Arabidopsis thaliana: one gene and its partner. The protein of the gene in region 1 interacts with the protein of each later gene in a pairwise test. Each region holds a gene or a part of one and is shown on either strand. Other genes may lie near its edges.

Region 1 (6,486 bases):
CACATAGCACTTGATGGCTCGTAAGGTATTGTATGGAATATATCTCTGGCTTTATCCAGGTAACCTGCTCTGCAATAAAGATCAACCATACAAGAATAGTGTTCAAGGCGAAGGCGTATACCAAACACATGCTCCATCTTCGTAAACAACCAGTGTCCTTCACGCACTAAATTGGAATGGCTGCAAGCTGATAAAACTGCAACCATAGTTACATGATCAGGTTTGATACCGGATCTGTCCATATCCTTGAACCATGCCAATGCGACTTCTCCTTTACCCAGCCTGCCATATCCATCGATCAAAGAAGTGTATGTCACTTTGTCCCTCTTCCTCATCGAATCAAATACTCGCTTTGCAGCTATGATTTCACCGGATTTTGCATACATATCGACAAGGGAGTTCCACAGGATTAAACAGTCCTTGTAGCTTTGGCGTCTCAGGATGTAGCAGTGAAACTCTTTCCCATGTTGCAGGTTTCCCACCCGAGCAAAAAGAGGGAGAATGCTAGCAAGCGTAATGTGATTTGGGTGAAATCCAGAGAGCAACATCTCCTTGAGCAGGAAAGAGGTTTCTTCTGATCTCTCGTTGTATGCAAAACCGGAAATGATAGAATTCCATGTACTCAAACTATTTGCTTCAACCTGCTGAAACACTATAAACGCGTGCCTAAGATCACTGCATCTTGAGTACATTGTGATCAACGAATTCCGAACATTGTCAATATCATGGGAAAAACTACAACTACGGATCACAAGGCAATGAAATACTTTCCCCCACTTTAACGCTCCAATGTGTGAGCATGCCTTTAAACCATTAATCATAGCTACAGAACCTATTCTTACATTGCAATTTCTCATCCCAACAACACAATTCAAAGCCCCTATGTAATTTCCTGCCTCCAAACAACCTCCAGCTATTGTGTTCCAAGTTACAATACTCGCTTCGACACCAGAGAGATACATTCTATCAAGAAGCTTAAAAGCTTCCCCTAACTTTTCTTCTGAAGTATAACAGTTGATTATTGCATTCCATGAGACAGCATCCCTTTCAGACATCCTGTCAAACAATCTCCGAGCAACATCCACTTTACCAAATCTTTTATACATAGATATCAACGCGTTGCAGACATACAAGTTACACCTGTGAGAGCTAACCTCAATAGAGCCATGAACAACTCTCCCATATGCAAAATCCAGTAATGCTGCACAAGCCTTGATAACAGACGGGTAAGTAAATTCATCCGCTCTAATTCCTTTACTCATCATTCGCTTGTAAACAGAAACAGACTCCTGAAACCTTTTGTTCCTAATATACGAACCGATGAGCACATTCCACGGCAAGGGATGCAAAATCTCAGAGTTCTCAGTAATGGTCTGAGCTTCGTCAAGGAGATTAAAAGCAGAGTAGAAAGTGACCAACTTTGGGACCAAAACAGAGTCAAACTCCAAACCCGACGAGATACAATGAGCATGAAGTTGCTGGCCAGGAACAAACTCATTAAAACCCACACATGTAGATAGAAGAGAAGCTGATGAATACAAAACGAATTCATGAGAACCAGACTGGTAGCGAAGTAGAGAGAAAGTTCTGAAAGCTTCATATAATTGACCATGGGAAATGCAATGTCTAAATGAATTGAAAAGCACTTGTGGAACTGATTCATCATCATGGGTTTTGGAAGTTTCTGAGATGGGTCTCGGCAGCTGTTTCCACGATTGAGGAATAAACTTGCAAATTTCGGATACAGTGAGACCTCTGAGTATAGAGCGAGAAGGAGAAGACGGCATATACAGTAAGCTGCATATGATGGCAACGAATGGATTTTGATTATTGTTCCAAGACTAGTTTGATCCATCAAAGCGAAAGTTCAAGCAATTTTGCTTCTCCGTCTGAAAGTCAAAGGAAGAAAGGTGAGAAAGATAAAAAAAAAGTTTCGTTGAGGAATTTCATCGAACATGTGGTGAGCGAAACATACCGTATACAGACGAAACATGGAAGTATAAGTACATCTAGAGAAACATAAAAGAGATAAGACAGATGTCATGTAGGAAGAAAAAGGAAAGAAGACAGTGATTCGGAGACAGTATCGACGGAACCGGACGAAGCGAAAGTAGGAGTAGCCGCGCGTGAAGGTTATGTAGAAAGAGACTCCTTTTTGACATTTATTCAATGTTCTGGCATGTGCTCAGATGATTTGGGCCGCTTGTTTAGATTTGTCCACTTCCAGACCCATTGCAATTGTAACCCATTTTAGCCCACTAAAATCTGACTGTAACAACTTTATAAATTTATGGTTTTTTCAAAATATTACCAAGGTTAAATAAATCGTGTTAGATGAAGTTGGCACCAGTTTTTGATATTACAAAATGAGGTCACTAGTATTTTTTTTATAAGAACTTATAATAAGTAATTTATTAATTGCATTATTTCATTAATATTGATTTTATATATACTGATACACTAGGGTTTTTATAAACATTTAAATTGTCTAAAATCGCATAGACCAACCGAGTAGGTGTGAATATTTATTGTCAGATATCAATAATCTGCTAGACGTTTCTAAAAACATCTCTAATCGTAACTTACCAAGTTACCTTTGAGGTTTCTTCTAAATGAGTCGGTGACTATGATAAGACGGTGTATCACATCACAATCAACTCCCAAATGTCAGTGTCGAGAAAAACCTAATCAAGTATCAACTACAAAGAATTGGTTATGCATCCGAAGGATGAAAACACATTAAATACATTATGAGACTGGGTTTCTCCGTGGATGATTCGTGTTTTGGATGTGGTTGTGTGTGAACTAAAATTTGACAACCATGTACATGAGTCAGCAGACACAGAAGAAGACAAAAAATAACTTTTTCCAGTTAGTTTGGGCTGTTGTGTCTGTGTGTTGTCCGTGGAGAATCATTAAGTCATTACAGATCTTTGGTCAAATGCCAAAAATAAAGGACCCCCTTTAGACGGTGCTCATGTCACGCATGACGCAATTTGTAACCAAAAAAGGCAAAGAAAGTCTTTCTTTATCCCACGTGGTTTAACCATCGACGACGACGTTTTCACATTCTTCATCGGTGGAGTTTGAATCGACTTTTGTGTTTTTCACTGCTTTTCTCTATACTATTATGTCATCACCTATTTTACAGATTTTTATGAAACGAAATAGAGGATATATAGTAGTATAAAATTCTAGATTTCGACTTAAGACTTTTTCATATAAAAAAAAATGAAAAACCTATAAATTAAGGTAACCTAACTATGATATACCAAAGCAACAACAACAAAAAATAAAGATTAATTTTCTATTTTAAAAAAACAAAAAATATCATTTATTTTGAAACCAAACAGAACGGTATATATACCACTTGTTTTATAGAAATGACTCTTACTTTCTAAATACATTGAATTTACTGTTAGACACAGCAAAAAAAAAAGTTACAACTTGAAAGAAAAAAAAATCGACTAGTCAGGCACATGTCAAATTGGTACCACTAAAAAAATGGGTCATACTTTGACCAGTTGATTTTTTCCTCGAGAATTAACTAGTTTTATAATTGGTCAACTTCATTCTCATTCTTGATTCATATTAAAAAATATTATATAATATTTTGACTTTCACTAAACTTCAACGTATAAATAGTCTTTGTATCTTCATATTCAAACATAAACAACACTCAAAAGTCTCTTCTTCTTCTTCTTCTTCTTCACATCGATCATCATACAACAACAAAAAATGGATTACAGAGAATCCACCGGTGAAAGTCAGTCAAAGTACAAAGGAATCCGTCGTCGGAAATGGGGCAAATGGGTATCAGAGATTAGAGTTCCGGGAACTCGTGACCGTCTCTGGTTAGGTTCATTCTCAACAGCAGAAGGTGCCGCCGTAGCACACGACGTTGCTTTCTTCTGTTTACACCAACCTGATTCTTTAGAATCTCTCAATTTCCCTCATTTGCTTAATCCTTCACTCGTTTCCAGAACTTCTCCGAGATCTATCCAGCAAGCTGCTTCTAACGCCGGCATGGCCATTGACGCCGGAATCGTCCACAGTACCAGCGTGAACTCTGGATGCGGAGATACGACGACGTATTACGAGAATGGAGCTGATCAAGTGGAGCCGTTGAATATTTCAGTGTATGATTATCTGGGCGGCCACGATCACGTTTGATTTATCTCGACGGTCATGATCACGTTTGATCTTCTTTTGAGTAAGATTTTGTACCATAATCAAAACAGGTGTGGTGCTAAAATCTTACTCAAAACAAGATTAGGTACCACAGAGAAACAATCAAATGGTTGTGAATATACATTATAAGGTTTTGATTAATGTTTGTTTCACTGATTTAGTGAAGTTTGGTCCATTGTATACAAATCTATTCAAGAAACCTAGCGCGAGATCATGTTTCGTGATTGAAGATTGAGATTTTTAAGTATTCGTAATATTTTTGTAAAATACAAATATGTTTCTGATCAGCTATTATTCGATACGAAATACATGGGCGAAAGCAGGCGTCCTAATTGTGATGCTTTCGCCCAGTGAAAGACTCCGACAAATCTACAAGAGTTCCTCCAAGTACCTTATAGCTTAAGTCACTGATTTCTCTCTCAAGTGTCATTTGTAAAGTCTCTGCTTATTGAATGTTTCTCTTCTTCAATCATTCCATCAAGATTGTCCGCCAAATTGCTTTTGGAGATCCGTGAAGGATACGGTGGCTGAACCTCTTCGTTTGGCCTGCGGGTGAGACGAATGTTCTCTCCATCCTGTCATGTAAATCACCTACACAAGAATGCCAAACGATATATACTTTAGGCCTCAAATGTTGTTAATTTCACTTGTAGTATTTAGCATAAAATTGTTTTAATCATGGATTGTAGCAAAACAACTTGAATAATGAAGCTAGGTTATGGGTTTTTTTCACTGTTGAGTTAGTTCTGAACTATTATGGACAGACCTGAAAAGTAGCGGGTATAGTGCCGTCCTCTGTGGCAAACATGGAGTCATATATGGCTGCCGTGGCAACAGCAGTTTCACGATTCAAAATCTTGTTTCTCTCGAGAAGAGCATTGGTTTCACCCATCGCACGAAGATGCTCTATAAGATCCATCGCTGAGTAGAAAGATATAAACGAGAAGGCAAATCAGAAATAATTCTTGGAAGATACACGTTGTTGCAAACGATGAAGTAGGAAAAAAGTGGAACAGTTTACCTCTCTTGTATTTAACTACATATTCATCAACATCAACACCAGGAAGACTAAAACCCGCCCTGGTCAACAGATTCCCTGCGTCCCTAACCTGAAAAAGAAAAGAGAAGCCATGTTCTTTCACCTCAGTACTAGAAATCAACTTGATCTTGCTAAGATATTCACACACACCTGTGCCAAAGGTGATAGCCGAGGACTAATCCCTCCTTCCCGCTCCATGTGAGCCAAAGTGCATGCTATTCTCAGCTCCCTTGTAAATAATTTCAATACGTAAAGGCTAATCAGAAACATGATATGGAATAAGAGACTCTACATTGAGTATTGATTTGAAATGAAAGAGAGGACAAACTTTAAGGTTTCTCCACCAAGAATTGCTGCTAAAAATAAGCCATCCGGCTTCAGTGCTAGCTTGCACTGCAGTTATTACAATCCAAAACCAACACATTATAAATATTTTCTCATAGGACAAACCAATTCACATACACCAACAAAAAGCAACGAAAACGAGAAAACCTGTATCATGGATCCAGGAAGATCATTTGTCCAGTGAAGCCCCAACGAACTAATGATCAAATCAACCGAACTTCACATACAACATATTTGACAAGATATTAGTAGGTAATAGAACTCTAGTGAGTCGCAGCAAGGGGAAAAAAACAAAGAAAAACAGGTTTTACAATAACGTCCTTGTTACCTCTCTTTGACTGGCAGAAACTCTTCATCACCAACAAAGTAAGAGGTTTCAATGGAGTTATCGAGTGAATCGTCTTGAGCATCTCTACATGACTTAATCATGTCATATGAAGTATCCATCATGATAAGCTTCTCAATCCCACCTGTGCAACAAAGCCAAAAATCATCATCAACAACACTCAAAATGCAGAACCAGAACAGTCAAGAGAGAGATAAACTAACCGCGACCACGTAGTAATCTCTTAACAGCACCAAGAGATCCTCCCAAACAAAATGCAGTGGGAAAACTCTTCTTACAATCCTTAAGAAAGAGCAAAAACAATATTTACTAAGCTTGATTGAAATCGAGAAATTTAGCCCCAAGAGAAGCTAAATTGCTCTCTCAATGGCGAGCATGCATCAAACAAAAGAGTACCTCTAAGCGATCAAGTAGATTATCTGCAACAGCGTCAACAAAAGAATCGTTTTTTTGGCGAGAAAGCCACGCCGCTCGATCACGCTGCAAATCAATCGAACACACAAATTATAAGAACTCGAAATCTGGATTAATAATAAGAGAGAGAGGCAAATGTAAGATGAATTCG
Region 2 (7,327 bases), 7.8 Mb from region 1:
ATTGCATGATCCTCTTCCTGTGGGATTCTTACTCTCATGGCTAACCCAGACGTTAAAGAGATTCTCTGCGATTGTGTGATAAACTTGGTAAGAATTTTTCATTTTGTTTTTTCTTTTCCGTTAAAATTCAATCCATTGCTGGAGATGATTTGATTGAATTTCAGAGAGAGAATCCGAAGAGGCGAAGGGAGACGGTTTACGTCGGATGTGGTGCTGGATTCGGCGGCGATAGGCCACTGGCGGCTCTCAAACTGCTTCAGAGAGTTGAAGAGCTTAACTATCTTGTCCTTGAGTGCTTAGCCGAACGAACTTTGGCTGATCGATGGCTTTCTATGGCATCTGGCGGTCTCGGCTACGACCCTCGTGGTATGTTTTTGGACTTTGGAGGTTGCTAAAATTACTTTTAGGGATGCTTTGTAACTTCAAAATCTGTTTTTCTTCAGTTTCAGAGTGGATGCAGTTGTTGCTACCTTTGGCTGTGGAGAGAGGCACTTGTATAATCACTAACATGGGTGCAAGTAAGTGCTTACAATATATAATGGAGGAGGCCTTTTTTCTCTCTGTTTTTCTTTTCATCTGAATTATCGTGTTTTTTTCCTTGTAGTTGATCCCTCTGGGGCTCAGAAGAAAGTTCTCGAGGTAGCCGGTGAATTAGGTCTCACCATTTCCGTGGCTGTGGCTCATGAGGTGCATTTTGAAACAGGTAATGGAACCTACTTTCATCCCTGGGAGATATTGTCAGTGTTATGGGTATTTAACACTGTCTGAAGCCATAATAAGTGTGATTAACCCTTGTCTTTCAATCTTTTTAAGGCTCGGGATCATCTTTTGGCGGTCAATATTGCTCTGCAGGGGTATGATTCTGGTTTTCTAACTCCTGATCATATGTGTCAAATGTGATATTATCAGCTAGTGACAATTATTTTGATAGAGTAGAAGATATGTAGAACATAGTTATGTGTACTGTGAAGGACTCTGGGTTATATGTTATATATAAAGAGTTTTCCATGGATTATTTAGCTCCTCCATGTGATTTGTGTGGTTTCCCTGAACTTTTATCCTCCTTTGTTGAAGGGTACTAGCACTTATCTTGGAGCAGCTCCTATTGTTGAATGCCTGGAGAAGTACCAACCAAACGTGATAATTACTTCAAGAGTGGCTGATGCCGCCTTATTTTTAGCACCAATGGTGAGGCGTTCTTGTCGTTTCCTGTTTCGTGATTAAATCTGATCATTCTTGTTGTGTCATCAGGTCTATGAACTAGGTTGGAATTGGAATGACTTGGAGCTGCTAGCTCAGGGAACTCTCGCTGGCCACCTTCTGGAGTGCGGTTGCCAGCTCACTGGTGGATACTTCATGCATCCAGGTGCGTTTTACGCTTATTGGCTCAGGGAAGATATGATGAACTACTGTTTTCCATTATCAGTATGGTCATTTCGTTCCTCAATGTTCTTTAGGTGATCAGTATAGAGACATGGCTTTCCCTCTTCTCCAGGATTTGTCACTTCCTTATGCAGAGATTGGCTATGATGGTAAAGTATGTGTATCAAAGGTTGAAGGTAGTGGTGGAATTTTAAATACCAGTACTTGCGCCGAGCAACTTCTGTATGAAATTGCTGACCCTAGTGCCTACATTACACCTGATGTGGTAAGTTAGCTGTACAAAATCTAGAAGAAATAACTGTAAAAACGGCGGAAATATTTGATTTGAAAACCTTCTTTGCAGGTAATCGATATTCGAGGTGTTTCTTTCCTTCCCCTGTCAGACTGCAAAGTACAATGCAGTGGAGCAAAACCATCTTCTAACACTTCTGTGCCTGAGAAACTCTTGCGGTTAATTCCAAAGGTTGTTATCCATAGAAAATGCTGGTGGTATTTGATTGATGCTAAAGAGCAACCTATGTTTGGTTCTATAATTCGTATTTTCTTTGCAGGAGTGTGGTTGGAAAGGGTGGGGAGAGATATCTTATGGAGGAAATGGTTCTATACAACGTGCTAAAGCTTCAGAGTTTCTGGTGCGCCTATGATTAATATGTCTATGATGTAGTAGCATTTTTTGGCCCCATCGTCGCTTGAAATGACTCCTTATGGTGCCTTAAATTGGAGTTCATTTCTTATCAAGTGTATGTACGTATTTTACTTGTGTTTTTTCCTTCTTTCTTTCAGGTTCGATCTTGGATGGAAGAAACCATTCCTGGTGTTAACCATTGTATTCTTTCTTATGTGATTGGGGTTGATAGCTTGAAGGCGACAAGCAACGGCACTGAATCTTGGCAGTCATGTGGAGATATTAGATTACGTATGGATGGTCTTTTTAAACTGAAGGAACATGCGGTCCAGTTAACAAAAGAGTTTACTGCTCTATATACAAACGGACCAGCTGGTGGTGGTGGAATTAGGTAATTTCTTCACGTTGATGTTCGCTCCATATATCAATCCAATGCTAATTGTAGCTTTACAGTAGTACCAAATCCTGTTGAGTTGAGACATCTTATGACTAGGGACAATGTATTGAAACTAGTTATTTGTTATGAGATTCGGGGTGGTCTTTTTGGTTTGACAAAACTGCTTGTAAATTATATGCAGTACCGGACACAAGATGGAAATTGTTCTTGAAAAGCGTTTGGTAGGTCGTCTCCATCAAAAAATTTAAACTAATATAGCCTTGCATCAATCAATTTTACGGATTCTGATGTTATATGTTTGGTTATCCAGGTCAGCCGTGAATCTGTAATGTGGAAAACTGGACTTCAGCACACCAACACTTCAGAGCCAGAGACCTCTGAACATCATTCTCCAGAGAAAATGCCAAAGGTTAGCTCGAGAGTTCTTACTAAACTAATTGTGATGACTGATAGATAATGGAAATAAACATGACCTGAATTCAAATTCCTTGGTGAATCAATCCTAGTGTGTTCGAACATCAAACTAACTCTGATGACTGATAGATATGTTTTACTATTTGAAAGCTGAAAATGTGAAAGAACTCTAACATGTGCATTTGTATTAACACCTTGTTATTACTTCCATTTGTAGTTACCTAAGGAAAATCCAAAGAACCTTACAATGAGAGGCTATCAATCTGGATTTCATCACTCTCCTGCTCCATCTGGCCAAAAGATCCCACTCTACTCTGTTGCACATAGCCGGGCTGGCGATAAAGGAAACGACATAAACTTCTCAATAATCCCGCATTATTCCCCAGATGTCGAGCGTCTGAAACTCATAATTACTCCTCAATGGGTAAAGCATGTGATGTCAGTTCTGTTATCAACCTCTTCGTTTCTGGAATTGGATGCAAAACCAATGGATGAAAATGTGTCAGTAGAGATATATGACGTTGAAGGCATTCATGCTATGAATGTTGTCGTACGGAACATATTAGATGGTGGAGTCAACTGTTCCAGGAGGATCGACCGACACGGAAAGACAATCTCAGATCTCATCTTGTGTCAACAAGTTGTGTTGTAAGACTACTTTAACTTTGCATATCAGATTTTTCTATTCAAATTCTGTGGTAATATGTTAATAAAAAGGGAGACTTGAACTACACTATAGTTCTAAAAGATAATAGAAAAAGAAGGAATCGACTTAGTGGTGCTTCACTTTCTTTTACTTCTATACATTAAAATTACTTTAATTTACAACTGGATATCTTGATAGATACGCATACAGATAAGTATTAAAAGCATTGTTTTGATTGAGAGAGAATGATATTATATATTTGTGTAATGTTAGGTTGTTGTTATATTCTTTTGCAGGATCTGACTGACATGGGTTGCACCACCTCAGAGACAGTTGGCTTAAAGTAACAATCCCTTATTGGATTGAAATTGTCAGAAACCACAACCCTTCTTTTGCTCAACTCCAATCACTTTGCCACCCAATTTTATCTCATTCATTTTGCAAAAAAGATCAAAGAGAGAGAGAGAGAGAGAGAGAAAGAAAAAAAGGAAAAAACCTTCCTCCGTTACAACCTCACAATTGCAACAAAGTTTCATATAAAAGAGGACAGAAATTTCGCAGGTTCCTCCGTTGTCTGAGGTAAAGGTTTCCTTCTTTAACTAATTCCTCAGATGACCTCTTGATTTGTTGGAAAAAAAATTAAAAAATCTGTTTCATACAGGATCTTGGAGAAGGAAGGAAACAACAACAACCAAAAAAAAACCAAAAAAAAAAAAGATAAAACAAAAAAAATGTCTTTCACAGGAACTCTCGACAAATGCAATGTTTGTGATAAGACAGTCTATGTGGTGGACATGTTGTCCATTGAAGGAATGCCTTACCACAAGTCTTGCTTCAGGTGTACCCATTGCAAAGGAACCCTTCAGGTGCACTCATTACTCATTTTCTTGTTAGATCTTCTATGATCATATTATATCAACAATTTATCTATGTGTTGATGGCAGATGAGCAACTATTCCTCCATGGACGGAGTTTTGTACTGCAAGACTCATTTTGAGCAACTCTTCAAGGAATCTGGCAATTTCAGCAAAAACTTTCAACCAGGTTCGTATTATAAAATCTCTGACATCGAATCTCTCTATCTTTCAAATCATCATGATCATAACAAGTCTCTTTCTTTTCTCAGGAAAAACTGAGAAGCCAGAGCTGGTAGGTTCATCATTACATGTCCTTGTATATGATTAGCGTGTCAATATTTCATTTTCTTTCTTTTATGATCGACTAATAGGATCTGTGTACTGATTTAAACATTACAGACTAGGACTCCCAGCAAGATATCTTCCATCTTCTGTGGAACACAAGACAAGTGTGCCGCTTGCGAAAAAACTGTTTACCCTCTTGAAAAGGTTAGTGGTATACGCATCTGCAAATGTTCTCATGGCCTAAAATACCAACGAACTAGTCTCGTAGAGAAATTTATTTGCTCTAGAATTTGTTTTTTGTTTTTTCATTTCCGTAGAATTTTTCTGTTCGGATAAAATCATTACTAGATCAAATGGAAATAAAATTTTGATTTTGGTTTGGTTTAGTATACTTTTGGTTCGATTTGAGAACGTGATGTTGGTTGGTCCAAGCAAATGTGGAATCAATTTTGGCTTGGTTCTAATCGGGTTATTTGGTAACAGATACAAATGGAAGGAGAATGCTTCCACAAGACATGTTTCCGGTGCGCTCACGGTGGGTGTACGCTGACTCACTCCTCCTACGCCTCCTTAGATAGCGTTCTCTATTGCCGACATCACTTTAACCAACTCTTCATGGAGAAAGGAAACTACGCTCACGTCCTCCAAGCCGCCAATCACCGTCGCACAGCCTCAGGCAACACTCTTCCACCGGAACCTACCGAAGACGTCGCCGTGGAGGCCAAGGAAGAGAATGGCGTTTCAGAGTCTTGAATATCTCTTACATGAGTGTTTTTGAGTGAATGATTGAATGAATGTTGTTGCGGGGGAAAGATTTGATTTCATTTGTAATGAGTTGTTTCCATATGAAGACATGATTTTTTTTGTTATTTTTTTAATTCATTCGTTATACATTTATTATTACACACGAAAAAAAGGCAAGAATTGATGTTTTTTCACTCTATGTGTGCTGCTTATGATATGCTTTCCGATGGTGATGATGATATTCGATGTAATATCTGTTCGGTTCAAAGATACCAAACTACTTATATACCGGATCAAACCAAGTGGTTATCGGGTGATGTGAATCATTCATTATTTCGTTAGGTGAGAGAGGGTGTTTTCGTAAAAGTATCTAAAAACGGCCTTAGCAATGATGTCTGGTTGGCGAGAAACTCAAAAAGGAGGAGACAGAGAAAGTTGTTTGACTGGGAAAATTTGAAGAGACGAGCCAAAATTATCTGTTTGAAACGAACGGAATTGAAGACGAGAGCCACTCCTTTCCGTTTCCACCTTTCTTCCATTCTTACTCAACTTTCCATGATTGGTTAGCCTCTCTATCTGTCCGTGGCTTGTCGTTGATTTTTTTTATCTTGGTCGTCTGAATGTGTGGAATTTCGTTTTGCTTCACAGGAGTTGTATATAAGGTTCGAGGAATAAAGTAAGGCTACTTTTTTTATTTGATTTCCGATATGGAGTATGCGTCTACTTTTCAAAGGCCGATTCTATTCCATGGTGGAGATGGTGCGAGTTACTGCTTTCCAAATCGATTGATAAGTCCTAAAGGAATCAGCATTACATCTGGGGATTCTAAAGTGCATTCGTGTTTTCGATTGAGGAGAAATGTAGCACAAAGTGGTACATTGAATTTGATGAATGCGTGTTTCTCTGGAAGGTTTTATAGTGGTCATTTGCATTCTACAAAATCAATACTTGGCAATGGCCACCAAGCCAAAAGAATCCCTTTTGGATTTAGGTTACGTTGTCAGGGTCATGAATCTCTGGGTAATGCCGATAGTAATGATCATCGGATCGGGGAATCTTCCGAAAGTAGTGATGAAACTGAAGCTACAGATTTGAAAGATGCGAGAGTGGAAAACGACACTGATAGTTTGGAGGAACTCAAGGAGTTACTACACAAGGCAATTAAAGAATTGGAAGTTGCTAGGCTCAATAGTACCATGTTTGAGGAAAAGGCTCAGAGAATCTCAGAAAGAGCCATAGCACTCAAGGATGAAGCTGCTACTGCTTGGCTTGACGTAAACAAAACCCTTGATGTCATTCGAGATACTGTTTATGAGGAGGCTCTTGCTAAAGAAGCTGTTCAAACGGCTACTATGGCCCTGTCTCTGGCTGAAGCTAGGCTTCAGGTTATAGTGGAATCACTTGAAGCTGGTGCAGGGAATGATATTCCACATGTGTCTGAAGAGACTGAGGAAACAATAGATGTTAATGATAAAGAAGAAGCTCTTTTAGCTGCCAAGGATGATATTAAAGAATGCCAAGTTAATTTAGATAATTGTGAGTCCCAACTGAGTGCTTTGCTGAGCAAAAAAGACGAGCTGCAAAAGGAAGTGGACAAGTTGAATGAGTTCGCTGAGACAATACAGATCAGTTCGTTGAAAGCCGAGGAGGATGTTACCAATATTATGAAATTGGCTGAACAAGCTGTAGCATTTGAGCTTGAGGCTACTCAACGCGTTAATGATGCAGAGATTGCTTTACAGAGAGCAGAGAAGTCTCTCTCCATTTCTCAGACCCCAGAGGAAACTCAGGGCCAACTCTCGGATGAAGAAACTTCTCAGGAGGATGCGATGGTACTTTCAGGTAACGTTGAAGATGTTACCCATCAGGTTGAAAAAGAATCACCTAAAGATGGAGATCTACCAGTGGTACAGATCACAGCTGAACTTGTGCCTGATATAGTTGGTCAGAGGAATAAAAAACTAACTCAGCCTTAT

Evidence for each region. The genes of interacting proteins can lie anywhere in the genome.
Region 2: the proteins of AT1G22810 (region 1) and PLIM2b interact in a two-hybrid assay, tested with the Arabidopsis thaliana proteins (one large-scale study listed by BioGRID).

The regions. Positions count from the first base shown.
Region 1 is NC_003070.9:8,072,222-8,078,707, reverse strand, and holds AT1G22810 (Integrase-type DNA-binding superfamily protein), read left to right. Parts: upstream 1-3,670; 5' UTR 3,671-3,738; coding exon 3,739-4,173; 3' UTR 4,174-4,477; downstream 4,478-6,486. Other genes in the region: AT1G22830 (Tetratricopeptide repeat (TPR)-like superfamily protein), read right to left, coding at 1-1,787; AT1G22800 (S-adenosyl-L-methionine-dependent methyltransferases superfamily protein), read right to left, coding at 4,669-4,782, 4,958-5,112, 5,213-5,300, 5,381-5,459, 5,559-5,623, 5,723-5,792, 5,904-6,045, 6,125-6,203 and 1 more.
Region 2 is NC_003070.9:278,723-286,049, forward strand, and holds PLIM2b (GATA type zinc finger transcription factor family protein), read left to right. Parts: upstream 1-4,038; 5' UTR 4,039-4,196; coding exon 4,197-4,331; intron 4,332-4,409; coding exon 4,410-4,509; intron 4,510-4,591; coding exon 4,592-4,614; intron 4,615-4,721; coding exon 4,722-4,811; intron 4,812-5,090; coding exon 5,091-5,360; 3' UTR 5,361-5,523; downstream 5,524-7,327. Other genes in the region: AT1G01770 (propionyl-CoA carboxylase), read left to right, coding at 37-87, 165-366, 444-518, 605-703, 814-854, 1,075-1,188, 1,252-1,366, 1,458-1,648 and 7 more; KEA1 (K+ efflux antiporter 1), read left to right, coding at 6,059-7,327. UniProt on the Arabidopsis thaliana protein: Binds to actin filaments and promotes cross-linking into thick bundles. Has an actin-stabilizing activity. The actin regulatory activities are inhibited by pH > 6.8 but are [Ca(2+)] independent.